Drosophila melanogaster: one gene and its partners. The protein of the gene in region 1 interacts with the protein of each later gene in a pairwise test. Each region holds a gene or a part of one and is shown in the gene's direction. Other genes may lie near its edges.

Region 1 (3,756 bases):
ACAATACCCTAAAGGAGGCCAACAATACCTACGAGAAGTTGGCCGGCTTCCAGTCGGATGTCCAGCGCTCTTCTGAGAGTGCGGAGAAAGCCCTGCAGACGGTGCCCAACATCGAGAAGGAGATTCAGAATGCGGAAAGCCTGATCAGCCAGGCGGAGGAGGCTCTCGATGGAGCCAATAAGAATGCCAACGAGGCCAAGAAGAATGCCCAGGAGGCGCAGCTGAAGTATGCCGAACAGGCTTCCAAGGTAAGTCATTCAGGGACATCTTATTATCCTTACTAAATTCGTAAAATTTCTTGACAGGATGCTGAGCTGATCCGCCGCAAAGCCAATGAGACCAAGGTGGCTGCCCGCAATCTGCGCGAAGAGGCCGACCAACTGAATCATCGCGTGAAACTCACCGAAATGGACATCTTCAAGCTGGAGGAGAGCTCGACCAAGGACGACAATCTGGTGGACGACGCCAAGCGAAAGGTGGGTCAGGCCAAGGCCGATACCCAGGAGGCCCAGAAGCAGATCGAGAAGGCCAATGCCGACCTGACGGCCATCAAGGATGAGCTGGAGAATCTGAAGGACATCAACACGGGCGATTTGGATAGATTGGGTAAGAAACAGAAACCTCTCTAATCTGAATTTACTTATGAGTAATCTAATTAATCTCGCAGAGAATCGTTTGGCCACTGTGGAGGGTGAGATCAATCGCGTCAACCTGACGGGACGCATCGAAAAGTACCGGGAACAGCGCACCATTCAGAAGAATCTGATCGACAAGTACGATGCCGAGCTGAGGGAGCTCAAGGATGAAGTCCAGAATATTGGACTTATTTCCAAGGCTCTCCCCGATAGCTGCTTCAGTCGCAATCGCCTGGAACCCTAGAGCTCTGCGAACAACCCCACTTCCCATAACAACTACTTCAATTTTAACTAAGAACGAAGATCTGAGACGAGACGAACAAATCAGATTTATGATAGAACGTAGACGTTGAATGAAATTATGTAATTTTAGTGCCTTAGCCGAAATATTCTGTTTAGTGACCCAGCCCAAGGATCCAAGGATCCACAAAGGAGACCAACTGAGCAACGTTAAGCTTTAACGCATCATCGTTCGCCTACTGTATGCCATATACTATAATGATACAACGGATACAAGAGGATGGATGATGGCCACATCGAGAATCAACTGCCAACTGTGCTTCACCAGTTTCAAGCCAGCAACGGACTGTATTATATGTTAAAAATGAGACACTAAACGAAACACACAAGACCTTGTACTCCCACAATCCGACAATCCAATCGCATATCTATATCTCTACCGTAGCTCCACCTGAAGTCTATTCTAAACACTTATATATTAACATATTTGTCATCTACGTTTAATGTGCCAATACAATTACCATGTATCTTTGTGTATAAGTCGCTTAAAGAGTTTCCTTTCAAAATATAACTTTTCCAACGTTGTAAGTTTGTAAAAATCCACCCTTTAAACTTGAACTGGGGAAATATAAGGATGCTCAAGCGAAGTGACGTTTTGAAGTCGAGGTTATTTTACTTTTTCATTCAGCTTTGATTTGCCATCACCCATTATAATCGAAACACAACTTAAAAAATATATAAATTTGAATATCTACATGTAAAATGTAACGTAAAGTAGAGTCGATGAAACGATAGACTTTTCGATAGTATACAAATTTCGACTTTCGATACTACTGATGCTACTATCGCTCGTTTTGCATATCTAATGCACGTGTTGTTTCAATTTGTTTGTAAACAAAAGTTTTCTTAAATGAGTTTTTAGCTGCAGACCGACAAATTAGCCACAAAAGATGTCACGAATTATAGTCAAACAGCTGCCCAAGCATGTGAGTATGTAGACTTGTTAAAAAAAAGCATCTACTTAAACTGAAATTGTAGATCACCGAAGACAAACTGCGTCAGATTTTTGGTGCCCAGGGCACGATTACGGATCTGCAACTAAAATACACGCCCGATGGAAAGTTTCGGCAATTTTGCTTCGTGGGTTACAGCACCGAGGAGGAGGCCCAATCGGCCATCCGGCACTTTGACAACACATGCATTCAGACCAGCCGGGTGCGCGTCGAATCCTGTGCTGCCTTGGGCAGCGAAGATAAGCCACAATCTTGGAGCAAGTACGCCAAGGACAGCAAGAAGAACCTAGACAAATTGAAGGAGAAGGAAAGGGAGGCGGCTGCCAAGGCTAAGGAGTCTGAGAAAAAGAAGAAGAAAGATAAAGTTGACAAGGTGGACCAAATTTTGAGCAGACACAAAGACGATCCGGAATTCCAAGAGTTTCTAGAGGCGCATGACAAGTCGCGAACGCTGTGGGGAAACGATTTGGGTATAAATAAAAATCGGGAGAACGAAGAAGAGGATGATGAGGAACAGGAAGAATCTCGAGCTGCCAGAGATGACAGTGGAGTGGATGCAGATGCAGGAGATGAGGATGGCTCAGGCGATGAGGCAGATGAGGAAGAAGACACCGATAAACTGGCCGAAAAGCCCATCAGCGATCTTGAGTATATGAAATCCCTGATGGCAACCACATCCGGCGAAGCTACTGCAAAGAAACCCAAAGCCAAGGCGGATAAATCAAATTTGGAGCTGTTCACCATTAAAATACACAATGTACCATACAACACCAAGCGCCAGGAGGTGCTAAAGTTTTTCAAGCCCCTGAAACCGTACTCCGTTCGGCTGCCCAGCAAAGTTCACGGCTTCTGCTACGTGGGTTTTAAAACTGAGAAAGACATGGCCAAGGGAATGCTTAAAAACAAGAGTTTCATCAAGGGCAAGCAAGTATTCTTCTCCGACTTTACAGAGAAGAACAAGGTGACCAAAGCGAGCAAGAGTGGACAACCATTGGCACCAGCCGCCGTCGATGCGGGCAATGCGAAGTGGAAGCATCAGCAGGACAGTTTATCCAAAGAAGATGACATCTCCGAGTCCGGGAGGATATTCTTTCGTAATCTAGCATACACTACTACCGAAGAGGATCTGCGCAAGCTTTTCGAGCAGTTCGGTCCCGTGGTGGAGGTTAACTTGCCCCTCGACAAGCTAACGCGAAAAATCAAGGGCTTTGGTACAGTTACGTACATGATGCCGGAGCACGCATTAAAGGCTTTTAATACCCTCGATGGCACTGATTTCCATGGCCGTCTCTTGCACCTTCTGCCCAGCAAGGACATCGAAAAGAATCCGAAAGAGGATTTGGATGAAAACGATGCCAGTCTGTCATTCAAAGAAAAGAAGGCCTTGAAACTCAAGAAGAACGCCCAAAAACCAATTGGCTGGAACACATTGTTTCTGGGTGCCAATGCTGTTGCAGAAATTCTCGCCAAGCAATTCAAGACCTCAAAGGAACGCATCCTGGACACAAGCGATGGTGGCAGTAGTGCCGCCGTGCGCTTGGCTTTGGGAGAAACCCAAGTCGTCATCGAGATGAAGCGCTTCCTGGAGGAAGAAGGCGTTCGTCTTGATGCATTTGATGAGCCCGCAAAGAAACGTTCTAACACTGTTATACTAGCCAAGAATTTGCCAGCGGCCACAGAGATTTCAGAGATTACCCCCATCTTTAGTCGATTTGGCCCAATTGGCAGGATTGTGCTTCCTCCCAGTGGGGTTACGGCACTTATCGAGTACTGTGATCCTTTGGAGGCGAGGCAAGCTTTCAAGAAGTTGGCCTACAGTAAATTCAAGAATGCCCCACTCTATTTGGAGTGGGCTCCCGAGCAGGTCT
Region 2 (3,365 bases), 6.9 Mb from region 1:
TTGTCATAGTTATATTAAAGGCTTTTTTATATGCCATCTTTAACATTTCACTAAAATATGTATGTTTACTTAACCGAAGTAAATAAAAGTGGAGAACCCCTCACCTTCATTCGATTGCCGTTTATATTTTACAATGCTTTCAAGACATAAGTTGTCCTATCCATCGATATCCCTGCCATCCCTAGCTTAAAGTCCTCAATGGTTCGTTTCATTGACCCAACATGCAAATTGACTGTGAAACAAACAGGCAAGAGGCAAATAGACAAAGTTTTACATATGTATAGAATCGAAATCAAACACACACAGACTGAAATCAATGAGCCCCGCACAATTTATGTCTCAACATATCCTATATGCCATCTGCATGTTTCTGGGTTTTTTTTTCTGCCTATGCCGGGTTTCGCTATAAATTATTTCCCCCACATGGCAAGGCAAAAAAGTCGGCAAATACACCACCGCACTCGTCCTGCAAACATAAAATATTACACATGAGTGGTTTTTATGCAAAGAAGCTGGGCAAGAAAAGCTGGGCCTCCTCCTTCGACACTTTAAACTTGGCTAAGCAACAAGTTGGTCTTCTTTTTACGGGTCGATCGGTGTGGCAAGAATTATTGCGTTGCGGCGGAAACTTTAAGAGCCAACGGAAATTGTTGCCGCCTTTTAGGCCGACAACCAGGGAATGATTTATGTGCCACATGCAGCACGGTGGTGTGGGTTTATCCCGCCGTGGGAGTACAAATCTCTTACCAACTTATAACCATATATACGATGGCACGGGTCGCACTCGTTCATTAACAATTCATTAAATGCCACCAGAAAAATTAAACGCCAGGCTAAGTAGGGCAAATTTATGCTTGGCTGACAGGACAGCGAAATTGGCTTTCAGATGTGGTTAATATATATATATAGGTAAATGTAAACATGGGTTACAGTTGCGTAAAAGGTATCACCAAATAATGACTGGCATTTAATTTAAATAACAATAAGTACGTAAATTAGTATTGCTATATGGATGGATGATTGATTGATACATTTACATATCAAAGTAGTTGCTTTTTATAGATAAAAGTAACAAAGAGTGTTTGCGAGCTCATCAATTTTTTTTTCGGCATAAAGACCGCAATTGAATTTGGTAAATGTAATATGCACAATTATGTTTATGCCTATTAAATGACCCTCGGTGTTTGGTTAACAAACGCAAATACATGGTCGAAAATGAAAGCAATAAATAATTTTCGCAACAAGTTCTGATGACAATTTCATTGGCTGTGACAGCTGGGTTGGTTGCGCCCATTTTCCATGTAATACGCATTAAAATTAACTTAATTATTCACCGCCAGGCAATTAGCTGTGCAAAAAGCGATCCAAATATGATGAGAAAATAGAATAGAAGACTCTCAAAGAGTACTTCCGCACAATTCGACAGGCCTGTGAATTAACACCTCAAAAAATATATATTTACAGCTCGAAGAAAAAACGTTATGAAAATAATTGAAATAAAAATGCGGTGCCTAAAGGTCAAGTCGACGAACGAGGTCCAAAACCTGGACCACTTGACATTGTCCAAAGCAAAACTGAGGCAAGACGAAGCACCCAAGAAGAGCACTCCACTCTGAAGTGGCTCCATTTGTTACTGGCCTTTTTGTTTTTGGTTTCTCTAATTATGGCCGAACTCGCTTTTGGCTATATATTGAGCAGTTGGCCATTAGCAAATCATCAATCAGCTCAGGCAACTTTCAATTGCAAGACGCAAATCGTAAACCCGAAAAGGCAAACTTGAAAAATGGTAAGTCCTCAAGGATTTGAGTTTGCTGCAAAGGATTAAGTAAAGTCGCTAAACAAATCAAATAAATTGATCAAAATTCTACTTGGAAAGGAGGAATTTAAAATGGATTTTGGCTTAAATAAAGAATGCAAAATAAAATTCAACAAGCCCATGAAAATACTTCCACTAACTAATACTTATTTTCCAGAAAATCTTCTCGCTTGGTGGTGTCCTTACCCTCTCCGCTGTGGCCAGTGTGGCCCTAGGTGCTCCTCAATTGGAATCTCGGCTGCGCCGCGATGTCTCGGAACTGGTGGATCCCGCTGCAGTGGAATATCTGCCTCCTTCGGTCACCGAGGCTGTCCTCCTGAACGCTGAGCCTGTGGAGGCTGAGGCTCATGCCGATCCTGCTGCCCTGGAAGCCGATCCGGAGGCCACTGTCCTGGGCGATGAGGGCTACGAGTACCGCACGGTGCGCCGCCTTAAGCTGCGCCATCGCAACCGTCGTGATGTGTCCCATTTGCAGCCAGCCAGGCAGTATCTGCCACCCAGCACCGCCTACTTGCCACCTGCTCAGGAGGCGCAGGCTGCACCCGAGGCTCCGGCAGCTGCAGCTCCACCTGCCGATGACACCGAGGAGGTGGTGTCCGCCGCCGAGCCCAAGGTGAACCGGGAGTACCTTCCGCCCACGGAAGCTGCACCAGCCGCTGAGGAAACCACCGAGGCGGCTGCACCCGAGGAGCCAGCCGATGTCCGTGTGGTGGATGTGCCCACCGTTTCTGGGCAACTGCTCCAGGATGGCTACCACTACCAGCAGCCGGCCGAGATGCCCGCCGAGCTGAGGGAGGCCGCTCCCGAGTATCTGCCTCCGATCGGCGGCGAGGAGGTCATCGTGGAGGGTCCAGCTGGAGGCGAGAGTGCCGTCCTGGGCAGCGATGGCTACCAGTATCGTGCCATCAGGCGTTACAGATTTTAAATTTCTCAATTTGCCAGCGATTTGCTAACGTTTTGTTCCACCTTTTAATTGTTGTTGATGTTTTTTAATTGGTCTAAATAAAATACAATTTTCGAACAGTACACTAAAAAATTGTTTAATGCATTATTATAGATAGCGGTGAAAAGTTGTAAATTCCTGGAAAATGTAGTTTCACCTGATTGATTATTAATAATTAATGCATATTTAATGCGCAGTGGAAAAGAAGAGTAATGCGATTAAAAGGTTCAACAAAAAGTAGATAAGTTTTTGTAATGTATCCCCTTCTTCCTTTTTTAAATTTATTTTCTTCACCTCATTGAAATATGCAAATTTTTGAGTTAATTAAGTAAATCTTTATACATGGCAGCATGAATCAAGTAAATACACACTAAGAAATTGCTCGATTGCACAATAAATCCCCAGCAAGGACTTGATTCCCAGAATAGTTGCAAGGTCTTATGTATTTATATAATTAAAGTCAACAGGCTTATGGGCTACAAACCTGTGGCAAAAGCAAACATAACATTACGTATACGCACTGAGTGGGTTTGAGCTGCGCAGTCAGTTGGCTTACTTGTATGTACATTTCAGCCTTGTTTAGTGTCAATAAAAGGGCTTTTATAT
Region 3 (3,756 bases), on another chromosome or scaffold:
ATTCAAGTTATGCTATGCCATTGGTACCATTGAATTTCGACTCTTTAACAAATAAGCCAGCATCGATTTTAAACTGTTGACTGGCCGAACTTTGGCAGTTGGGAAAAGTTTTTTCATTTGCGCGGGCAAACAAGAGTAACACCACACCCGAAATGGCAATGAGCATGGAAATCATAATAATAAGCGAGCGAAACAAAAGCGAAACAGTTATAAACTTTCTTACTGCTGTTTATGATGTCCCGGGGCTTATTTAATCGATTATGCCGAATGATGTCCTGGCCGCATAAGGCGCAATAGTAACAGGTAAACCATAAGCCCAACCCCAACCAGTTTCAGTTTACCTGAGGAATTTCCAAAACGACGAGCAGGCGGGATAAAATGGCCTTGATGGGTGGCGACGATGGGCGGTGGCGGAGCAGCTAAGGGACTGTAAAGGGATTTCATTGCCGTCACAGAGCTCGGCAAGGTGAAATTGCCGAGCGTGGCGAGGGGCCGACTGGGAAAACCTTCGCCAGCTTCACACGCATGCCACGCCTAATGCAGCTCCAACCTCTCCTGCCCCGCCCACAGGCCCCTTTTTTTGCAGGTTAAGGTCATCAGCAGCAGCAACAGCAGCAGCAAAAGCAGCAGCAGCAACAGCAGCTGCAGCAATGCTTGCCGCAATTTTATGCTGCAGACAGCTGCATTAACAATGGCAATGAAAACCAGGCAGAGCCTGGGCGAATGCAGCCTCCTTCGTCCTGCATTCTTTGCCACATCCGTGACGTTTAGCCGTAAACGGATTTATAGCAGCTGCAACGCCCGCCGCGGCTGCTGATTGCGCCTTGAAAGTGGGCGGCATTTCAAGGCCGCTCTTCTGGCACTCGTTTACGTTGTCATTACTTTTAATCCGACGTATTCGTGGGGCATGTGGAGAATTAGCGCTCTAGGTATTTCGCCTGTAAGTGCGGCGAGTTTGTGTGCCGCCAAATAAAAGAAAGCCCACAAAATGCAGGCACAAAGGCATTTTCCTTTTTTTTTTCTTGGCGTGGAGCACTATGTACTTGAGTGGTGCTTGAGAAAAACATGGCTTGGCTTTGACTAAATATTCTTAGTCAATGGCGAGTAGATGAAGGTCAATAGCGGCGACAAACTATCTGAATCAGCAGATATGCAAATTCGAGTGCGCCAAATAAAATATTCAAAAAGCCAAAACCCCATTTGCACAAGGGCGCCATCTTTCGGAATACGTTTGGTGCTTAGCACAGCTTTCAACCATGGTTTGAGTTTGTACTGCAAACAGGACTGGATAAATGCCAATGTTAAACTATCTGTTAATGTTAAAATAAGTTTTAGCTTAACAGCACAAGATAATATTCAAATCAAAATAATACAATATACTTGAAATAATAATATAATAATTTAATTAAATTATAGTTTTTATAAAGGGTATAGTGTTGTATGTTATCAAATGATGTAGTTATATGTTAGCCACAATATTTTACTAATAAAAGCCACTGTGCTAAAATGCCTAACATTGACCTTAACAGAGCCTGAGTTACCGCCTTCATCAGCTTGGTATTTCGGCACCGCTGTGCGACGGTCCCACTTGCGGCGCCATTGAGCAAACGGTCACTCTGAATCGTTCTTTCCTTTTTCATCAACATGGCTGATCAGGTAAGATTCCACGAGAGTGTGCTAAATAAATGAAATACGCGGGTTAAACGGCTGATGCGAACCCGCAACAAGATGCCCTCTGAAGTGTAAGTGACCAGTGAATGGATGAACCTATGGAGCAGCGAACAAACGCACTGGGAAGCGTAGCCTGGACCAGCTTCGCCCTAACCCCACTTTAGCGCATGGTGTCGCCAATAGTGAACACGAAATGATGTATATTGCAGCAAACCGAACGCTCGTTCCGCAAGCAACACGCGGTGGTCGTTGTGCGTCGCAAGAGCCCCAACTTGAAGAAAAGGCCCCGTTTCTATCGCCAAATTGGCCTGGGCTTCCGCGCTCCGGCGGAGGTAAGAGGAAGCCGAACAAACCACGACTAATGTTGCGCCCCCTTCGTTTGTTTTCCATTTCACGCCTTCCCACGCACGCCGAATGTTCCCGCCCGTGCCTGCCGCCTGCCTGTTGATCCGACAACACCACCACCACCGCCACCTTGAACCCCAAACACGATTCCAACCGAACGACTAACTAACCAGAACGAGCGCGCCTTCCAAAAACAATTCGGTGTCAACCTAAACCGCAAGGTCAAGCCCGGTATCACCAAGAAGAAGCTGCTGCGTCGCTCCCGCGATGTGGGACTCGGTTTCAAGACCCCACGTGAGGTGATGCCCAGGAGATAGCCCTTGAAATGCGTAGAATTCCTTCACTAACAACATTCGTATACTCCCCCTGCTATAGGCCATCGATGGTACCTACATCGACAAGAAGTGCCCCTGGACCGGTGATGTGAGGATCCGTGGTCGCATTCTGACCGGCGTGGTCCGCAAGGCCAAGATGCAGCGCACCATTGTCATTCGGCGCGACTACCTGCACTTTGTGCGCAAATACAGCCGTTTCGAGAAGCGTCACCGCAACATGAGCGTCCACTGCTCCCCTGTGTTCAGGTAAACATATCAATAAAGCTAGAGCTAAAACCCTTTTTCCATCTTCATGACATGGAAGATGTAAAAAGAGACCTAATACCTCATACTCTGATGATAAAATCATGACGGTCTTCATAAAACAAATTGCTGAAAGAACTTGACTCTTTTTACTAAATGTAAAAATACTGAAACTAAGCCTTGTGCGCTAGCTTTGTGCTTATACTGTAGGGCCTCCTACTAATCCGTGCTATTTCTTAATTTGCAGAGATGTTGAGCATGGCGATATTGTCACCATTGGTGAGTGCCGTCCTCTGTCCAAGACTGTGCGCTTCAACGTCCTGAAAGTCAGCAAGGGTCAGGGAGCCAAGAAGAGCTTCAAGAAGTACTAGAGCGGACAACTACCATTCGGGCGATAATATTTGTAGCAATTATTCTTTTTGAATAAAACAAAAAAAAGTAACTTTAACCATGGGTTTTCTCCAGTTCTTCTCTCAGTTTCCACAGCATTTCAGCAGTCGTGCAGCCAGCTATTCCATTAAAAGGTGTGTAAAATATATTATTTTGTAAGGCAGCTATTAACTGGCATTCTGATGATAAAATCATGACGGTCTTCATAAAACAAATTGCTGAAGAACCTTGACTCTTCTCAATAAAAATGAGAATACTGATATTTATCAAAGAAAAGCATATTGAAATAAATGCAAATACTCCATACTAATGACACGATTTCTTATTTTTTACAGAAACTAAAGATGACCGCAAGAATATGGACACGAATTGCATTGAATGTACATTATTAATATGATTTTCTTAAATAAAAGTTGATTGATTACAAATTATGTTTTTATTGAATGATTTCAATGGCAAAGATTTTCGCTTTACATTTTGAATTTGGCGGCGGTTTCATTTCGAAAAGTTCGAGTGTTGCAAAGCTTTCGAATGTAGCCAAAAATTGGCATCTGTGAAATGTTCAGCACAACAGCTGGTAACACTGAAAGAGGGAAACAAAAATAAAGCAAAAAAAATGGAAACTGGACCGAATGCAGAAATTGGTAAAAATTATAATTAGCATTGTGTGCATCAAACTTTATGTTTCATCAGCGAATAGAAGAGATGGGCTGATAATACACCAAAGCTGTGCCAAAAAAAAAAAACCCACCCAATCCTTCGATTTCAGAGC

What was found.
Region 2: the proteins of CG3335 (region 1) and CG4229 interact in a two-hybrid assay, tested with the Drosophila melanogaster proteins (one large-scale study listed by BioGRID).
Region 3: the proteins of CG3335 (region 1) and RpS11 interact in a two-hybrid assay, tested with the Drosophila melanogaster proteins (one large-scale study listed by BioGRID).

What each region holds. Positions count from the first base shown.
Region 1 is NT_037436.4:9,622,512-9,626,267, forward strand, and holds the start of CG3335 (uncharacterized protein), read left to right. Parts: upstream 1-1,725; 5' UTR 1,726-1,825; coding exon 1,826-1,861; intron 1,862-1,913; coding exon 1,914-3,756. Other genes in the region: LanB2 (laminin B2), read left to right, coding at 1-248, 306-606, 668-879.
Region 2 is NT_037436.4:16,555,113-16,558,477, forward strand, and holds CG4229 (uncharacterized protein), read left to right. Parts: upstream 1-1,710; 5' UTR 1,711-1,783; coding exon 1,784-1,786; intron 1,787-1,973; coding exon 1,974-2,741; 3' UTR 2,742-2,846; downstream 2,847-3,365.
Region 3 is NT_033778.4:12,198,675-12,202,430, reverse strand, and holds RpS11 (ribosomal protein S11), read left to right. Parts: upstream 1-1,615; 5' UTR 1,616-1,644; coding exon 1,645-1,656; intron 1,657-1,880; coding exon of another isoform or gene 1,881-2,003; intron 2,004-2,189; coding exon 2,190-2,315; intron 2,316-2,391; coding exon 2,392-2,597; intron 2,598-2,678; exon of another isoform or gene 2,679-2,769; intron 2,770-2,841; coding exon 2,842-2,965; 3' UTR 2,966-3,118; intron 3,119-3,157; exon of another isoform or gene 3,158-3,248; intron 3,249-3,319; 3' UTR 3,320-3,407; downstream 3,408-3,756. Other genes in the region: CG8858 (uncharacterized protein), read left to right, coding at 3,601-3,628, 3,754-3,756.